Linked DNA regions of Oryctolagus cuniculus. The main gene of each other region encodes a partner of the protein of the gene in region 4 in a complex. Links are inferred from orthologs where the notes say so. Each region holds a gene or a part of one and is shown on either strand. Other genes may lie near its edges.

Evidence for each region.
Region 1: NSMCE3 (region 4) and NSMCE2 share a complex: the UniProt entries of both Homo sapiens proteins name them as parts of the SMC5-SMC6 complex. The link is inferred for Oryctolagus cuniculus from reciprocal best matches to the Homo sapiens genes NSMCE3 and NSMCE2.
Region 2: NSMCE3 (region 4) and NSMCE4A share a complex: the UniProt entries of both Homo sapiens proteins name them as parts of the SMC5-SMC6 complex. The link is inferred for Oryctolagus cuniculus from reciprocal best matches to the Homo sapiens genes NSMCE3 and NSMCE4A.
Region 3: the proteins of NSMCE3 (region 4) and NSMCE1 are in contact, whole or in part, in a crystal structure (PDB 7DG2), measured with the Xenopus laevis proteins. The link is inferred for Oryctolagus cuniculus from reciprocal best matches to the Homo sapiens genes NSMCE3 and NSMCE1. Residues at the interface, in XP_018121157.1 of Xenopus laevis: Gly57, Glu58, Val60, Gln61, Tyr62, Leu64, Ile65, Lys66, Gln68, Lys69, Val82, Thr100, Gln102, Gln103, Val104, Phe105, Gly106, Phe107, Asn123, Leu125, Gln126, Arg127, Val128, Gly130, Asp131, Gly132, Met133, Arg134, Asp136, Glu137; in NP_001083134.1 of Xenopus laevis: Ile5, Glu7, Gln10, Arg11, Leu13, Gln14, Ala15, Met17, Ser18, His19, Leu30, His33, Leu37, His38, Leu54, His57, Leu58, Pro60, Leu61, Phe62, Met63, Val84, Asn86, Ile88, Thr89, Met91, Ala92, Ser93, Asp94, Gln149.
Region 5: NSMCE3 (region 4) and SMC5 share a complex: the UniProt entries of both Homo sapiens proteins name them as parts of the SMC5-SMC6 complex. The link is inferred for Oryctolagus cuniculus from reciprocal best matches to the Homo sapiens genes NSMCE3 and SMC5.

What each region holds. Positions count from the first base shown.
Region 1 is NC_091437.1:150,978,835-150,982,352, reverse strand, and holds part of NSMCE2 (E3 SUMO-protein ligase NSE2), read right to left. Parts: intron 2,440-3,518; coding exon 2,339-2,439; intron 1,993-2,338; coding exon 1,886-1,992; intron 1-1,885. UniProt on the Homo sapiens protein: E3 SUMO-protein ligase component of the SMC5-SMC6 complex, a complex involved in DNA double-strand break repair by homologous recombination. Is not be required for the stability of the complex.
Region 2 is NC_091446.1:8,987,225-8,990,742, reverse strand, and holds part of NSMCE4A (non-structural maintenance of chromosomes element 4 homolog A), read right to left. Parts: intron 964-3,518; coding exon 812-963; intron 1-811. UniProt on the Homo sapiens protein: Component of the SMC5-SMC6 complex, a complex involved in DNA double-strand breaks by homologous recombination. The complex may promote sister chromatid homologous recombination by recruiting the SMC1-SMC3 cohesin complex to double-strand breaks.
Region 3 is NC_091450.1:12,350,655-12,354,172, reverse strand, and holds part of NSMCE1 (non-structural maintenance of chromosomes element 1 homolog), read right to left. Parts: intron 662-3,518; 5' UTR 651-661; coding exon 515-650; intron 1-514. UniProt on the Homo sapiens protein: RING-type zinc finger-containing E3 ubiquitin ligase that assembles with melanoma antigen protein (MAGE) to catalyze the direct transfer of ubiquitin from E2 ubiquitin-conjugating enzyme to a specific substrate.
Region 4 is NC_091443.1:11,538,457-11,541,342, reverse strand, and holds NSMCE3 (non-structural maintenance of chromosomes element 3 homolog), read right to left. Parts: upstream 1,740-2,886; 5' UTR 1,684-1,739; coding exon 856-1,683; 3' UTR 511-855; downstream 1-510. UniProt on the Homo sapiens protein: Component of the SMC5-SMC6 complex, a complex involved in repair of DNA double-strand breaks by homologous recombination. The complex may promote sister chromatid homologous recombination by recruiting the SMC1-SMC3 cohesin complex to double-strand breaks.
Region 5 is NC_091432.1:160,105,021-160,108,264, forward strand, and holds part of SMC5 (structural maintenance of chromosomes protein 5), read right to left. Parts: intron 420-3,244; coding exon 240-419; intron 153-239; coding exon 57-152; intron 1-56. UniProt on the Homo sapiens protein: Core component of the SMC5-SMC6 complex, a complex involved in repair of DNA double-strand breaks by homologous recombination.

The DNA.
Region 1 (3,518 bases), on a different chromosome or scaffold from region 4:
TTTCCCAGGCCACAGCAGAGAGCTGGATTGGAGTGGAGCAGCTGGGTCTCAAACTGTGCCCATATGGGATGCCGGCACTGCAGGTGGCGGCTTTACCTGCTATGCCACAGCCCACAGTGCAGGCCTCCACTCTCTCTTTAAATAAATAAAAACAAATAAAGGAGATCGAACTAGGCAGGATGTCTATTCTGGGAGTCACTGGCACATATCCTTGTCCTTGTGGGGAGGAATGCGCTTTGTAACAGTACCTGCCTTTTCCTTATTTGACTACAGGGGGACGTCACAAACTTGGAGTAAGAAGAGCTAGCAAATAAATCTATCTAGGAATATCTGTTTTTAGCAATCATGTTAACAATATTTTGGCTTTTCAGAGAACGAACACAGAAAAAAGTTCATTGCAAAAGAGATCTGGAAGTCCAGAAACAACAGAAAATTATAATCACAGAGGAGAGGACAGGTTCAGCAGGGAGGAGACATTTCAACTACGAAGTGGGAACTCCAAACAGATCAAAACGTGCGAATGATGTAGGCTAGAGTTTGCAACCACGAGGCTGCAAAACCATTATTCTTCTAGAATAAACAGGGTAAATTACCTGACTGAATGACCATTAAGATACCTACAGCCTCCAAATATCCAATCTCTAGGGAGTGGTGGGGAATTCCAACTCGAGGTCTGGAACAGCGAATTTCTGGGCGACAGAGACAAACCACACATCAAAGGGACTGTTATCAAAAAGCTCTTGAGACCTGGTCACACCTGCCATTCCATTCCTGCGGCAAAGACAAACCTGTGATAAGCGCACAAGAGATGCCGAACTGAGTCCAAGCCGGAGCCAGTCTAGCTCACTCAGAGTTCTATGTTAATACAGAATCAGAGCCACAGTCCTTTGAGATCTTGGGGAGGGAATAAACACACGAAAGATTCCTCAGAACCTCCATTAAAATAAACCTCACTGATCAGTCACCCATGAGTTTACTTGAATCTTTTAGGAAGTTAGTTAAATAATTAAATATGTGGCAAGTACCCCCTGATAATAAAATGGGATTCATCAAGGCCAGGGGATGTGACTTGTCATCTTAGAGTGTCTACTTAAAATAATTTTTCAAAACTTATTTTATTTATTTGAAAGGCAGAGTGAGAGAGAGAGAGACAGAGACACACAGAGAGAGAATCTTCCATCTGCTGGTTCACTCCCCAGATGGCCCCAAAGGCCGAGGCTGGGCCAGGCTGAAGCCAGGCATAAGGAGCTTCTTCCAAGTCTCCCACGTGGGTGCAGGGGCCCAAGCACTTGGGCCATCATTTACTGCTTTCCCAGGCCATAGCAGAGAGCTGGATCGGAAATGGAGCAGCCGGGTCTCAAACCAGCACCCATGTGGGATGCCGGCATTGTTGGTGGCAGCTTTACCTGCTGTGCCACAGCGGCGGTCCCCTTAAAATACTTTTAAAGCAAATTAGCTGTATTGCAGAAAGCAAAACGAAACAAAACAAGCCTTAAAACAACTTACATTCCCTCTTGTTTGGGGAAGTGTATATACAAAGAGAGGGCACATTTGAGTCTTACAGTTCTCCTTTATGTTCTTCAGGCTAGGTTTTTAATTGCACACATTCATAAAACTCCTATAATCTCATGATTAGAATTCAATCCAACCTTTTTCCTTCTGTTTCAAGGTGTGGCTGGAGTTCCTTCGGCTTTTCCTGAACAGATTGCTAATCTTTCCCAGCTGAATGGTTTTTCCAGAAAGTCAGCTTCCATGTTTACACTGTCCGGGAGGCGAATGTGATCTCGGGCAGACACTGAGTGTCTCTTCCTCTGGCCTGACCTCTGGCACAGCGGCCCTGGCTGCCCACCGCGGAGGCCCCGCTTCCGCTCCCGCGTCAACTCACCAGGCCTTTTTCTTCCGCCTGTGCTTGGACTCAATCATGCGAACAATGGCTTCCTCTTCGTAGGTGTGGCCGCACACTTTGTTTTTCACTGGCTTCTTCATTTCCAACTGCAATCAAGGAGACATTAGGCTTTCAGGAATGATAACGATCAATTTCCAGTAGCTCTCTTTCCCCTAGTCCTGGGCTTTCTCATGGCCTTAGGTAACTATGAGGCTTAAGATAAGGACAAGCAGGGAAACCGGGGCACCAGTGTCATTGGCCATGAACTTTTCCCTAGATCCTTCAGGGTATGCTGGAAGGAAAGCCTGCCCTGTATATGCCTTAGTCTGCATCACTTATCTTTTCTCCCGCCTTAACTCCAAATGTGAAATCAAACCAGAAAGCCAGCAGGAACCATTTTGCCCCTGGGAAGCCAACTGCTTCTCTGACAGGGGTGGAAAGAGGAACCAGTACCTGCGTAATGGGGCAGATGAAGTTGGTCTGACTCTGGGTCACGATCATGTCTTCGTCCACTCCTTCTGTTCCGTCGGCCTCTCTGTCCGCCTGAAGACCATCTAGAGGGAAAGGAGGAGCGGGTGAGCCTCCTCGGCCTGCCTTCACCCCACAGATGCGGAAGGAATGGAAGGACAGTGGGCTCTACGTGGCATGAGTCTCTGTGCGAGGCCCCTGGAGGCCTCGGAATTGTTCTGCTCTCGAGAGAACTCTGCAAGGCACAGGATTCTGCCCATTCCTGCTAAGGAAACTGAGGCTCAGAGCAGTAAAAATACTCTTCAAAGCCACAGAGAATTAACTTTTGGAGATACTGTCTGGTAATCCAGAGTGTGAACTGGGGGACCTGGTTAGCTCCCTCCCGTCCTGCTCTGAGACCCTGAGCTAGCCGCAAACATGAGGAAGGGACACAGAAGGTGGTGTGCTTCTGCACCGCTCCTGGCACAAGGAAGTGCTAAGTGGTACCTGCTATTAGGTAATGTGTGTGGTGTGTGGCTCGTAGGCTTAAACCCTTTCATATTTCTGGGTATTAATGAGGATCTCCAAAGAACTTTTTTCATGTGAATTATATTTACCAATGATAGATATTAAAACTGAAGAATTAAAAACTATGTATTAATTTATTTAAAAAATAAAATCCCTTTACATGGTAACAGATATTTTGTAAGAATTAAAAGTTAGCATATTTTCCAGAAACCATCCTGTCCACCCCTTGTCCCAAGTGAGAAGAGTGGCCCTGCTTCACAGTTTTTCTAAGTACCTTTAATGCTTGGCTTGACAGAAGACAGTTGGATTTTGATATTTGTGCATGCACTTAATTGGCCACAATATCACATGTCCTACAGCTTCTGGGAAAATTCACCCATGGAAAGAATGAGAATGAAAAAGGCAAATGACCTCATGTTATTATGAGAGCAGTTCTGACTTGACAGCTGCCCTGAAAAGGCTCTTGGAGAACTCTAGGGGTTCCCTGGTCACGTTTTGAGAACTGCTGGAGGATGAGTGGTAGTGCTGGCTTTGAACATGGCACTGTCTGCTTCTTCTTTTCATTAAATTGCGCTTTCCCCTCACTTAGGGAAAAGGAGATGACAGACGATTTTTGAAGGAGACAGTAGGAGTTAGTATCATATAAAAGCCTTAACAT
Region 2 (3,518 bases), on a different chromosome or scaffold from region 4:
GTTTAGATCCCAGGATTCACGACAGACCTCAACACTCAACGGCAAAATAACAAAGACCTGGATTTTTATCCTAAGGAGGTCTGGTCATTTTCTTGTAATATCTGCAACGGCTCTCAGCCCGAGTGACCTAAGGCTGGACAGGAACGGAGGCCTGGCCCACACCACAGCCCTGCCACTTCCACAGAAGCCTGCCCAGGGAGACACCACGCGTCTCAGGAAGTTTACAGAGGCCGATCAGGACAGACAAACGTCCAGGAGGTGGACTGTTACGGAGGAAAGGACGGAAACAAGAGGGACAGTTTCCTCTGAACGAAGCATCTACTGGGAACTGCAGGCTGCCTTACACAAAACCACCAAGGGAGCTGGTTTTGGTTCCGCCAGGGGTCTCCCAGCTAGGAAGACAGAAGAAAATTTCACGTGACTACCAAGAAAAACTTGTCTTAAAACCAGGGCCGTATCCAAAAACAGAGCTGGGCAGTGTATGTTCGGACAAGGGCTTGAGTAGTCTTCACATATAGGTGAGTGACCGCCCAATGGGACGCCTGACGCCAGCCTCAGCAGGTGCACCTGCGTCCTCCTGCCCCAAGATCTCAAAGACACTCAAACAAGGATGGTAAGCCAGGACGCGGGATCCTTTAGCTTCCTCTCCCTGTGGAGAGTTTATGGGCTTTGCAATCAAAGTGTAGGAAGGCGCCGAGCACTGGCATCAGGGTTGTCACCACCACCCTACCAAATCATCTTTGTCCCTACGAGAAAAAACAGCGTAAGCTTTACAAATGGCTGGTCTGTCGGATTTTTAAAATAATCTTACAGAAAGTGGAATGTATGGGTTTTATTAAAGGTGTTTTCTGCTGTTTTGCCTGATATTTTCCAGGAGTCATAGACTATGAATTCAAAATCAGAACTATCTTCATCACGGATGAGTTCTTCAGCTTCTAGTGGATTTACACCCATATGTGTCAGCTACAAAAAATGAAGGAAGACAAAAAAACCCCAGTTAAGCCGCGAGCAATCATTCACCACATTCAACAATCTGCATCACTAACCCTTCCAGTGCCAGAGGCGAAGGCTATTTTCGGGGTCCTGCTCGGCTGCCCAGATTTCTCCTCCTACACGGCATCTCACACAGAAACGCCTGTTTTCCAAGGTCTCTTCTTTTTGGCAGAAAATACTCTCCCGTGCACTGAGAGCTTTTCTTTAGGTGGGAAGCGACATGACTCAGACCCAGAACTAGGCCCCCTGGGGACGCCTGCATCCCAGGCTGTCCCGGGCTCAGGCCAGCTCAGGCCAGCTCGACCAGCATAAACCTACAGAAGCTCCAGGACAGAGCCGGGGGTGGAGCTGGCTTTCAGACCTTAGGTTTCAGCCAGCCTCCCACCTGCTTAGCATCAGCAAGAGCTCAGCTCGCTTTAAAAGTACCTTCCAGGGCAGGACTGGTGAAGTTAAACAATTCTACCTTCCAGAAAATGCATTGTACTGAATTTACTTTTATGAAAGGACACATTTATTACATTATACTGTAAAGTACCTAGGAGTTACCAAGTCACGATGGCCGTATCATATAGAAACCATAATCACTAGGCCCCGGGAACATAACCCTATTGAAGACAACCAAACTGAAGAGGAGAAAGGCAACCAGAGCCTGGTCAGAGGGCCCGGTCAGCGCTGCTCTACCCTTGCCCGCCGCTCCTAGCACGGTACCCTCATAGCAAGACATTTGACCCGTCATTCACTTAAGGTTTTGCAAGTAATACTTTAGGACTTCAGGAATTTATTTTTGAGAGCTTTATCTCATAAACAGTAATTTTTTTAATTAATTAATTTATTTATTTTTGACAGGCAGAGTGGACAGTGAGAGAGAGAGACAGAGAGAAAGGTCTTCCTTTGCCGTTGGTTCACCCTCCAATGGCCGCCGCGGCCACCGCGCTGATCCGAAGCCAGGAGCCAGGTGCTTCTCCTGGTCTCCCATGGGGTGCAGGGCCCAAGGACTTGGGCCATCCTCCACTGCACTCCCTGGCCACAGCAGAGAGCTGGCCTGGAGGAGGGGCAACCGGGACAGAATCCGGCGCCCTGACCAGGACTAGAACCTGGTGTGCTGGTGCCGCAAGGCGGAGGATTAGCCTAGTGAGCCGCGGCGCTGGCCATAAACAGTAATTTTTAAAAATACCCAATATACAGCCACTCCGATGAGTGTGCATTTTCCTAAATGTGTTTCACTTCACAAATTTTTTTTAATTTAAGGTTTTAAAAACTACAAATTGCAGGCCGGCGCCGCGGCTCACTAGGCTAATCCTCCGCCTTGCGGCGCCGGCACACCGGGTTCTAGTCCCGGTTGGGGCGCCGGATTCTGTCCCGGTTGCCCCTCTTCCAGGCCAGCTCTCTGCTGTGGCCAGGGAGTGCAGTGGAGGATGGCCCAGGTGCTTGGGCCCTGCACCCCATGGGAGACCAGGAAGAGCACCTGGCTCCTGGCTCCTGCCATCGGATCAGCGCGGTGCGCCGGCTGCAGCGGCGGCCATTGGAGGGTGAACCAACGGCAAAGGAAGACCTTTCTCTCTGTCTCTCTCTCTCACTGTCCACCCTGCCTGTCAAAAAAAAAAAAAAAACTACAAATTGCAAACTGTCTGCCTCATGCCTCTACACATGCTTTATCGGGTTGAGACATCACAGCACTAAATCTGTTCAGTACCACGTGACACAACGACAGAAATTCAGTGTTTGAATCAAGGTGCCAGGACAGAGGCTGCCTCGGAGCAGAATCAGAAACAGACAAGGGGGCAGGGCTGGCTCAGCGGTGAGATGCCACTCGGGACATCCACACCCGGTATCAGGGCACCTGGGTGTGAGTCCCTGCTCTGCTTCCAGGTCTGGCTCCTGATCGCGGGCAGCCTATGGGGCAGCCAGCAAGTGACGGCTCAAGTATTTAGGTCCCTGCCACCCACATGGGAGACCTGGATTAAGTCCCAGGCTCCTCGCTTGGGTCTGGACCAACTCTGATATTTATAGAGCAAACCAGCAGAAGGAAGATCTGTCTCTATACATGTATCTCTCTCTCTCTCTGCCTCTCTCTCTCTCTTTTTTTTAATATGGTAAGATACAAGGTCAGTCTCTTTTTTTGGTAAATCCACCAAGGAAAAGTTATAAAATTTCAAGTAACAAGCATTCAAGCTTCAAAGACAAAGAAGGATGAATAAAACCGTATTTGTGCGGTTCTGAAATATTCTCAAAGACAGAACATCCCCCTTCTCCAGGCTTCTGCGCAGCCCAGCACAAAGGTTCCAGGTCACTGAGAATGACCCAGAACACTTATGAACTAAAAAACGGTCATTTGTAAATATCTGTAACACTCCAGAGTCTTAAACCAGAATGCAGAGATGCTCAGACCGCTCTAAGCGCCCACCCAATCCTGCACCACATAGCTCTGCTTCCCTCATTTAATCCGATCTTTTCAGGGGAACCTGAGGCCCAAAAAGCAGGATTTGGGGAGGCAAAGGAAATGAAGTAGAACAACTTGCCTATTA
Region 3 (3,518 bases), on a different chromosome or scaffold from region 4:
GGACTGAGCACTGACACATGGTCACCGAGACTATCACACACTCCTCCCAGGCCCACCAAGATGCTCCAAGTGCCCTCGGCTGGCCTGCGGCAGGGACTCCAGCACTCGCCCCAGGCTTGGCTGAGCCTAAGGCTGGGGCCTGAGTCATCATGCTGAACTGCCCTGCTAATGATCAACACCCAGCTGAGCGTCTTCAGCCGGGCCATCTGTCCGCTCCGTATGTAGCATGCTCCGAACTCTGAACCACCCTCTGTGTTACACACAACTACTGTCCCCCTTTAAAGAACGGAAAACTGAGGCTAGAGCAGGTGCTTGGAGCCTTGGTGTGAACCGTAACCACGCACTTTCAGAGTCCAGCGTTTTATACACCAGGCTAAACGTCACATTCCCTTGAGGGAGAAAAACGGCAGGCGAGGTGAGCAATACGACGGGTAGGAGACGAAAAGGCCGATGGTTACCTTGCTGCACGGTTACACCGACGTCACTCGTCCTTGATCAACACAACAGCACTTACAGTCATGGACCTTGTAGCAGTGCCTCTGCAGGCGCTCCATGTCCCATTCCTCCAGCACGCCGTGGGTCATCAGCAACTGCAGGAACCGCCGGTGGACGTCGGTCATGACGCCCGCCTTCCTCGTACTGCCCTGCATCTGTGAAGGAACTGAGAAAGTCAGCAAGAGTTCATCAGCTCCAAGCAACACCAGCAGGCGTTCTACAGTAACAAGGACAAATCTGCTAGGGTTTTAGAAGCAAAGTACCTCACACCAATCACTACGAAAGGGAAAAGGATGTGAGTCAGGGGCCAGGCGCATCAGTCCTGGGCAGTGCTGAGAAGCACGGCTTCTGCAGCCACCTCCACCACCTGCTACGTGTGTGAACTTGGCCAGCTGGGCCTACGTGTACTTCAGTTTCTGATCTGTAAAGTGGGGATAACAACAGAAATGCCCTCCGTAGAAGTGCTATGAAGGGGGCGGCATTGTGGTGCAGCGGGTCAAGCCGCCACTTGCAATGCCAGCATCCCATATGAGTGCTGGTTTGAAGCCTGGTGGCTCAACTTCTGATCCAGCTTGCTACTAACACATCTGGGAAAGCGGCAGAGGATGGCCCGAGGGCTTGGTCCTCTACACGCACAGGGGAGACCTGGATGGAGTTACGGGCTCCTAGCTTCAACCTCAACACGCCCTGGCAGCTGCAGCCATTTGGAGAACAGACCAGTGGATGGAAGCTCACTCACTCGCTTGCTTGCTCGCTCGCTCGCTCTCTATCTCTATCAGCCTGCCTTTCAAATAAACAAATCGTAAAAAGAAAAACACAAGGATCACTATGAAGAGGAGTTAACACGGTAACACAGTAAGCACAAACGAAGCACCAGCTATTGTCCCCGTTACCCAACAGTGAGTCTGAACCGTGGCTCAGTCTCTTAGCGGATCTATGGAGAAATGTAGCCAAGGCCCGATTTCTCCTGGTAAACTTCCAATAACACTCACTGCCTACAAAACTGCTGGTAAACTCTTCATGTTGGCTTCCTTCTCCTCTCCCTGAACCTCTAATAAGTCAACCTAAATGGCAGGACTGTGGGTTACTTTTAGAATCTGTTGCCTCTGATAAGATGGTCTCTTTCCACAAACCACGGAGAGGGCGGCTGATAGCGGAGTTACAGAGCCCTGATTTCGGCGTCTGCTCCTGGCTTGGCGAGGCAGCACAGGGCAGGCACTGCAGCTAACAGGCGGCGGCACGGAGACGTGCAGATCTTAAGCATCATGTAGTCTGCATGCTTAGAAATACAGATGCCCAGGCCCCTTCCCTGGAAGACTGACTACAGAGGGACCTGGAATTCTGACTAGCTGACATTCACTTTTAGGGGATACCCTGATCTGATAAGAAAGTCCCTATCGCCTTAGGCAAACAGGGCATGACCCTGTGACAGTCTTGTTATCTATAAAACAAGGATAATAACCACCCTAAGTGCACAGAATGAAATTTAAATGAGATTCAGCTACTAAACACTTGCCAAGAATCTGGGATACTCACATGAAAGATCCACAAAAATGCTATTTACTGTTTATTTAAACAGCAACATCACCTAGACCTCAGAGGCATCTTGGGGCTCGTGCTGTGGCATAGCAGATAAAGCCACCTGGCAGTGCTAGCATCCCATATGGGCTCTGGTTTGAGTCCCAGCTGCTCCACTTCCGATCCAGCTCCCTGTTAATGCACCTGGGAAAGCAAAAGAAGATGTCCCAAGTACTCAGACCCCTGCACCCAAGTGGGAGACCCTGAAGAAGCTCCTGGTTCCTGGCTTTAGCCTGGCCCAGCCCTGACCGTTGTGGCCATTTGGGGAGTGAACCAGCAGAGGAAGATCTCACTCTCTCACTCTCTCTCTCTCTCTCTCTGCTTCTCCTTCTCTGTAACTTCTTCAAATAAAGGTTGTTTTTTTTTTTTTTTAAAGATTTACTTATTTATTTGAAAGGCAGAATTACAGAGCAGCAAAGGCAGAGAGAGAGAGAGGTCTTCCATCCGCTGGTTCACTCCCCAGATGGCCCAATGGCCAGAGCTGTGCCGATCCAAAGCCAGGAGCCAGGAGCTTCTTCTGGGTCTCCCACGCAGGTGCAGGGGCCCAAGGACTTGGGCCATCTTGCACTGCTTTCCCAGGGCATAGCAGAGAGCTGGATCAGAAGTGGAGCAGCCGGGACTCAAAGCGCTGCCCATATGGGATGCCAGCACTGCAGGCAGCAGCTTCACCCACCACGCCAAGGTGCCGGCCTCTCATATAAATCTTTTTAAAGAACTAAAACCAGAGGCGTCCCATGACCAGTCTCTCTGTGTGCTGGACACCACGGAGAGCATCTCACCAGCAGCTCCACATCAACAAATCCAAGCCAGACTCCAACTCTGCTTCCTCCACCCTCAACTCCTTTCCTCCCCAGAGCCCTTCTCTCTGTGAAATCACCCGGTTTAGACGACACAGGCCACACAGTCACACAAAGCACACACCTGAGCACCACCGTGTGGTCCTCCTCGCCCTCAGCCTCACACCCGGCCAGCAGTCAAGTTTATTTCCCAGAAGGTACCTGCATTCACCCGCCCCGCTTAGTGATGCGAGCACCACCCTACTTGCCAAGGGTTGTTCTGGAAGCAGGGGTAGAAGGTGCTTTGGGCTCAGGCATCTGGATTTTTTACCCATAAGCTCTGGAGACGAAGACTCTCCCAACTAAGGGTCCCTAAGCAGGACGTTGATACGACCTAGGTGCGTCTTAGATCCGCTTTGATACCGTGGAGGCGACCAGGGGGCAAAGAGTGCAGTTAGAAAGCAGAAAGTCCTGGAAGGAAGCGGGAGGCAGAGGAAGCAGCTCAGTCCATGGAACGGATCCTGCAAAAGGGGACGAGCACAGTACCAAGGCTTAGCAGTGGGGACGAATGACAAGAACTGCGACCACCATGATTCCCACAAGGGCTCATGCAGGATCAGCTGCTAGATACCCACCGAAGCAGAGCACAGTAAACATTCAGAATACTAC
Region 4 (2,886 bases):
CAGCAGCTCCGGACTAAGAAGAAAAAAAATCTTCTTTCTGAATAACTTTACAAAGGGGCTGTGACAGGAGTCTTAGGTAAACTTCCCTGTTCACGCCGGCATCGGCCACCTCACAGGCTAGGCCCCGTCAGTTCACACACCTGGGCCGTCCGGCAGGCAGGTGGGTCACTGACCGAGACACACATTTCACACCGTGAAGCTACGCAAATACTTTTTTTACATCAACTTCTACAGAACGCTATGAACATTAATATGCAAGAGATTTAAAAACGCGCATGACTAACCACTTTAAAATACAGCATTTATCGTTAACGGCTACGTAGTTAGAGGGAAGAAAAGCCGCCCAATGGAACTGAGCGATGAGCCACACAGCTGAGTAACAATCGTGAGCCCAAAACCCTCTTGGAGGCACAGGAGGCCATCGCTCGGAGTCACGGCCGCGGCCCGGGGCAGGAAGCCTGTGAAATCCGCGTGTTACTCTAACAAGGACAGACGGTTCTAGTCGCACGGTCAACTTTGCAAACAGCTTTATTTTCCTTACAAATGGGGGTAGGAGACGTGAAATCACTTCTCTGCTTTTATATTCTCGGCACCGAGGTCCTGCGCTCACGCGCTTTCTTAAACACCTGTCCCAGGGCACGGCACGCAGCGCTCCGGTTAGTCTTACAAAGCCAGCAAGATTTTATACAAAATAACAACACGACGGCAAAGTCTAAACCGGGGGTGGGGGCAAAAGCCGCCGCTCCCCCAAGCCTGCTTCGAGGCGGCGGCCTGGGAGCAGACAGCAGGGGCCGGGGGAGGCGAGCCCACCCACCCACCCACCCCCGGGCGCCCCTCCCGCCCGCGCCGCGGGCTTCAGCAGGTGGCGGCCGGCCCGCTGGGCTGGGGCTGCGGCCGGGCCCGGCTCTCCTCGTCCGCCAGGGCCTCGCAGTACTGCGCCGGCCAGTCCTTGGGGTCCTGGTTGTGCACTTTGGCCACGAACTTGAGCACCTTCATCTTGCTCGTCTCCAGGCTGGTGCGCGGGCCCCACTGGAACTCGTAGTCCACGGGGTCCGTGTGCGGGATCCGCCGGTACTCCAGGTAGCGCTGCCGCACGAAGTCCTCGGTGAGCAGCTTCTTGGGGTCCCCGAAGACCACGTGCCGCTTGGTGGGGTGCACGCCCAGCCGCCGCAGGAAGTCCCACACCTCCGTCTCCTTCACCGCGTTGCCCTTCATGAAGATGAGCCCCAGCACGATCATCAGCAGGCCCGTGGTGGGCGTGCCCTGGTCGCCCCGCACCGCCGCGTCCTCCTCCACCGGCTCCAGCGTGTTCACCAGGATGTACGCGTTGCTGCGGGGCTCCAGCTCCACCAGCTTGTAGCCGAACACGTACTGCAGCCGCTCGCCGGCCAGCCGCAGCAGGTCCGGCAGGACGTCCTTGTAGTCGCCCAGCACGTGCTTCGCGATGTCCGTGCGCTTGATGGGGATCTTCTTCTGGTCCTTGACCAGCAGGAACTGCACCAGCTCCGCCACCTTCAGCTCCAGCTGCTTCTGAGTCCTGGGCCCCACCGACGGGGCGCTCAGCGCCTCCTGCGAGCCGCCCGGCCCGCGGGACGTGCTCGGCGTCTCCTCGGCGGCGCCGCGGCCCCCGTCCCTGTCGGCCTGGGAACTGGACCGGCCCCGGCTCCGGGCTTTCTGCAACATGGCTCCAGGCAGCGGGGCGGGGGCCGCAGCGGGGCGGGGGCCGCAACGGCCGGAAGCGGCGGGGATTGTGGGTCGGCGCGAGGCGCCAGGGGGCGGGGCCACGCGGCGTGCGTCCCCGTGCGTGCTGCGTCACGGGGGGCGGCGCTGGGCATGCGCAGCCGCGCCTGCGGAAGGGCGGCGCGGTGCTGCTGGTGGGAGTGATGGGTTAATCGGGTTAGAAAGAGACCACCAAACTCCTGCTCTAGGGTGCGGCTAATTTCAGGCCCGCACGGGCGCGGGGCGGTTACGGGCGGTATTAAGAGGTTTAGCATCGGGCGCCTTTGTGGATGGAGTGGCCGAGGCCGCCACGGCGTGGGAGGCTGGAGCGCCCGCTGCGGCGCAGACCGTGGAGGTCGAGACACGCGAGCCGCAGGGCGTCCTTGACCTTGGCGCCCGCCCTCGTGTCCTCCGGGGTGTGCGGGACACGAGGGGCTGGCGGCCACTGCCCGCGGCGGGGGGCCGGGGAACGCGGCGCCCGCGGGCACGGCCCTGGGCCCGCAGCCACGCCCGGGGCAGGACCCGGAGACATTCCCACTTCCTCGGAGGCCTCGCGGATGCGAGCTGCGCTAACGTGCATCTCCTAGACGCCTTCATTGCAAACTCCCCAGCCACTGGGATCCGTAGCAAAGCGCACAGGGGGTCCGCGACGTGTGCAGTTTGCATGCATTTTCAATTGTGCAACGCGTCGTTCCATTAACTCGAGCGATCAGCAATCTGCTGGCGCGCCTACAGATTTTAGCAAGTGTGTTTCTTCTCGACTTGCAAGGAAACTCAATTTCCCCGTCTTTTTTTTTTTAAAGCTACCGGGAAAATGGGTAAACTTCTCTAGGAACTAAATTAAATTGAGTTCCTCTTTAATGCAAATATATTCCGCGGAAAGCAATTCAGAGCCCATTATTTGAATAACAGCACCAAAGCACAGCCTTATTAACATTCCATTGAAGGAGAGTCACATAAAATTTTTGTTTATAATTCAATATGAAAATGCAATCTGATAATGGCACCCACACCACCCCAGTGCTAACCGTGAAGTCTTAATCCACGCTGTGGTGCAGTATGATCAAAATGCTAGCTGGGAGCAGTCGCTCTCCCACACCGAATCCACCGAAGGGGCCCCTCGCGGCAGTCTTAATGAGAGGCTGCCGCGGTTAGAGTGTCCCGCAA
Region 5 (3,244 bases), on a different chromosome or scaffold from region 4:
ATGAAGCCCTGGGGGGTTCTGAGTATGTGAACACTTTCAGGTTACTTATTACCTACCTTTGGTGTAATAAAGAAGTATTGAGATGTATTTTCTTTACAGGCAGTATTTACAACCATTTCAAACACTCTCCGTTCATTGATGGGGTCCATTCCCTGGACAATGACAACAATAACGAATGCCCATGTAAATTTACTACAGGATACAGTAGGATTTAAGTGTAAAAAGAATAATCACCAGACCTGGTTGATTTCATCGACTACTCTGAATGGACATCTGTTCAGCTCCTGAAGTGCCATCAAGTATAACATAGTAGAAACACTTCGTTCACCTCCACTTTGATGATGAGGAGTTAATTCATGCAGTTGAGTACTGCTGCGAAATTTCACTCTAATTCGAATTCCGTATTTATCATAGTCTTCCTATAAAACATTTAAAAAGCTGATGAAACATGACAGCTTTCTCTGCTACTTTCATTCCAATCGAAAAAAGACTGAATAAATCAATTGTATGAGTAAATGCAGCAGGTTGGGCTTCTTGTGACAAGTCCCAGCTGCTTCACTTCCAATCTGCTCTCTGCTGAAGAACGCGGGTAGGCAGCAGATGACCCAAGTGCTTGGGACCCTGCCAACCAGGTAAGAGACCCTGACAGAGCACCGGGCTCCTGGCTTCAGCCTGGCCAAACCCTGGCCATTGCAGTTATTTGGGGAGTGAACCAGCGGATGGAAGTTCTCTCTCTTATTCTCTCTCCCTCTGTAACTGTACTTTTCAAATAAATAAAATAAATAAATAAAAAAAAAAGAATTTAAAATTTAGTGATACCATCAAGTTTAAAGCAATACAACATTAACCAAGTAGCTACTATTTAGAAGCTTTAATATCTCCAAAGATCTATTTAGACATGGAAAATATATTAAGAAGCAGGGCTGGCGCTGTGTGTGGTGTAGCATGTAAAGCCGCTGCCTGCAGTGTCGGCATCCCATATGGACACCGGTTCGAGTCTCAGCTGCTCCACTTCCAATCCAGCTCTCTGCTGTAGCCTGGGAAAGCAGTGGAAGATGGCCCAAGTGCCTGGACCACTGGACCCGTGTGGGAGAACTGGAAGAAGCTCCTGGCTTTGGATTGGGTCAGTTTCGGCCGTTGCGGTCAATTAGGGAATAAACCAGCAGATAGAAGATCTCTTTCTCTCTCTCTCTGCCTCTCCTTCTCTCTCTGTGTAACTCTGACTTTCAAATAAATAAATAAAAAAAGAAAAGAAAATATATTCAGATTAAAATGATTGCTTTTTACAGAGGTAAAAATAATCGCCAAGTCTTCCTCACACCTCTTTGGCTGGTTAAAAAGAAAAGTGGATAAGAATTATATACATATTTTGAAAAACACTGTATCTATTACAATGTCATATCCAGGTTAATTAGTTACATATTTACCTTAAAAATCACATAAATCACAATTAAAAGCTAACTATTTAATATACAGAGCTTTAAGTGCTAACAACGCAAGCCATATAGGATATTTAAAATTTACATAAAAAATATAAATTGGTGAACTAATTTTAATGTACATTTTATTTAACCTAACATATCTAAAATATCATTTCAACATGTAACCATAATGTTATTAATGAGATAATTTGATTTTTTCATACTAAGTCTGTGAAATCTGGTATGTATTATACAGTGAACATATCTTTTACCTGTTTCAAGACATGTATACTTTGCAACTGGTCTAAGATTAACAGTGTTATAAGCATGTCAAGCATGTTAACAATAAATGTAAGGATTCTGGTAGGCTGTCAAATCTTAGAAATACCACTTTATTCCGTTTACTTTCCTAAGACTGAGCCAAAACAAAGAAATAACATAATGAATTTGTTAGTTTTGACTCCCAAGGTTTACCTTTTAACTTACATTCCACTTTTCTTCCACAATAATTTTATTTACTATTTCATTTCTTAACCATACCAGCTTTGATTACTAGAGTTTTATTTCTGGCTCTGCCAACTATTCTCTGCCGTTTCTGCCCCCATTCTAGTGTCTCCCATTTCTCTGAAGGTTCTGGAAAAAGAAAGTGGTTCTAGAAATAAAATAAATAAAAGCATTCCAACGGGAAGGCTGAGAAGAGCCAAGAATGTTCATCACCCAGGGACCCTAGGCTGGGCAAGAAAATTTCACTGAAAATATTGAGTCATCTCTGCGATGGGGCAGCTATCACTGAGAACACTAAAAGCTATCTGGAAGAAACAACACATGATAAAGCTATCGTATATCGTATCATGCAAGAAATGGGACCTAGATTAAAGAATGGGATTTTTATTTATTTATCTATTTTAGAAGTAGAGTTACAGACAGTGAGAGGGAGAGACAGAGAGAAAACCTTCCTTCCGGTGGTGCACTCCAGATGGCCACAATGGCTGGAGCTGGGCAGGTCAGAAGCCAGGAGCCAGGAGCTTCTTCCAAGTCTCCTGCATGGGTGCACGGGCTCAAGGACTTGGGCCACCTTCTGCTGCTTTCCCAGGCCACAGCAGAGAGCTGGATCAGAAGAGGAGCAGCCGGGACTAGAACCAGTGCCCAAACAGGATGCCAGCAACACAGGATGAGGCTCAACACTGCTGCCCCACAGCACCAGTCCCAAGAATAGGATTTCTATGACAGGTCATCAGTTCTACAGGTTTCCTTCCTGTGCTTACTTTTGATTATCCTTATGCCTTATCTGGTCAAGTTGTCTGATAAAGGTACTAAAGCTACTTTGACTAGGATGAAGCTCCTAGTAATCAAACTTATTTGGGATCAGATCTGGAGATGAGTCTGCCACTTAGTGACCTGTAGTAAATTTATCTTAAGTTTCAGCTTATTTATTTGTAAAATAGGGTTGATAAAAGCACCTGCTTCAGAGGATAGTTTGAGGATTAAAGAAGGTAAGTTTAAAAGTGCCTGGCACAAAAGAAACATACTTTTCACTTATGTTTCATACTGAGCAAATGAAGGAACCATGGGCAAAACTAAGGGGAGAAAGCAGTGCTATCTTGCCTTATATTCATGTACGTAACACAATGCAAAACTGCATACACACCAAAACACACAATTAAAAAGCTACAAGAAAAAAGGATTTTATTCTCTTTATTTCTTTCTTATTAAAAAATTTCATTGCAAGGGCAACACGTGGCATAACAAGTTAAGCTGCTGCTCAGAACATCTGTATCCCTGTATTGGAGTGCTCGCGTTAAGTCTTGGTTACTCCACTTCTA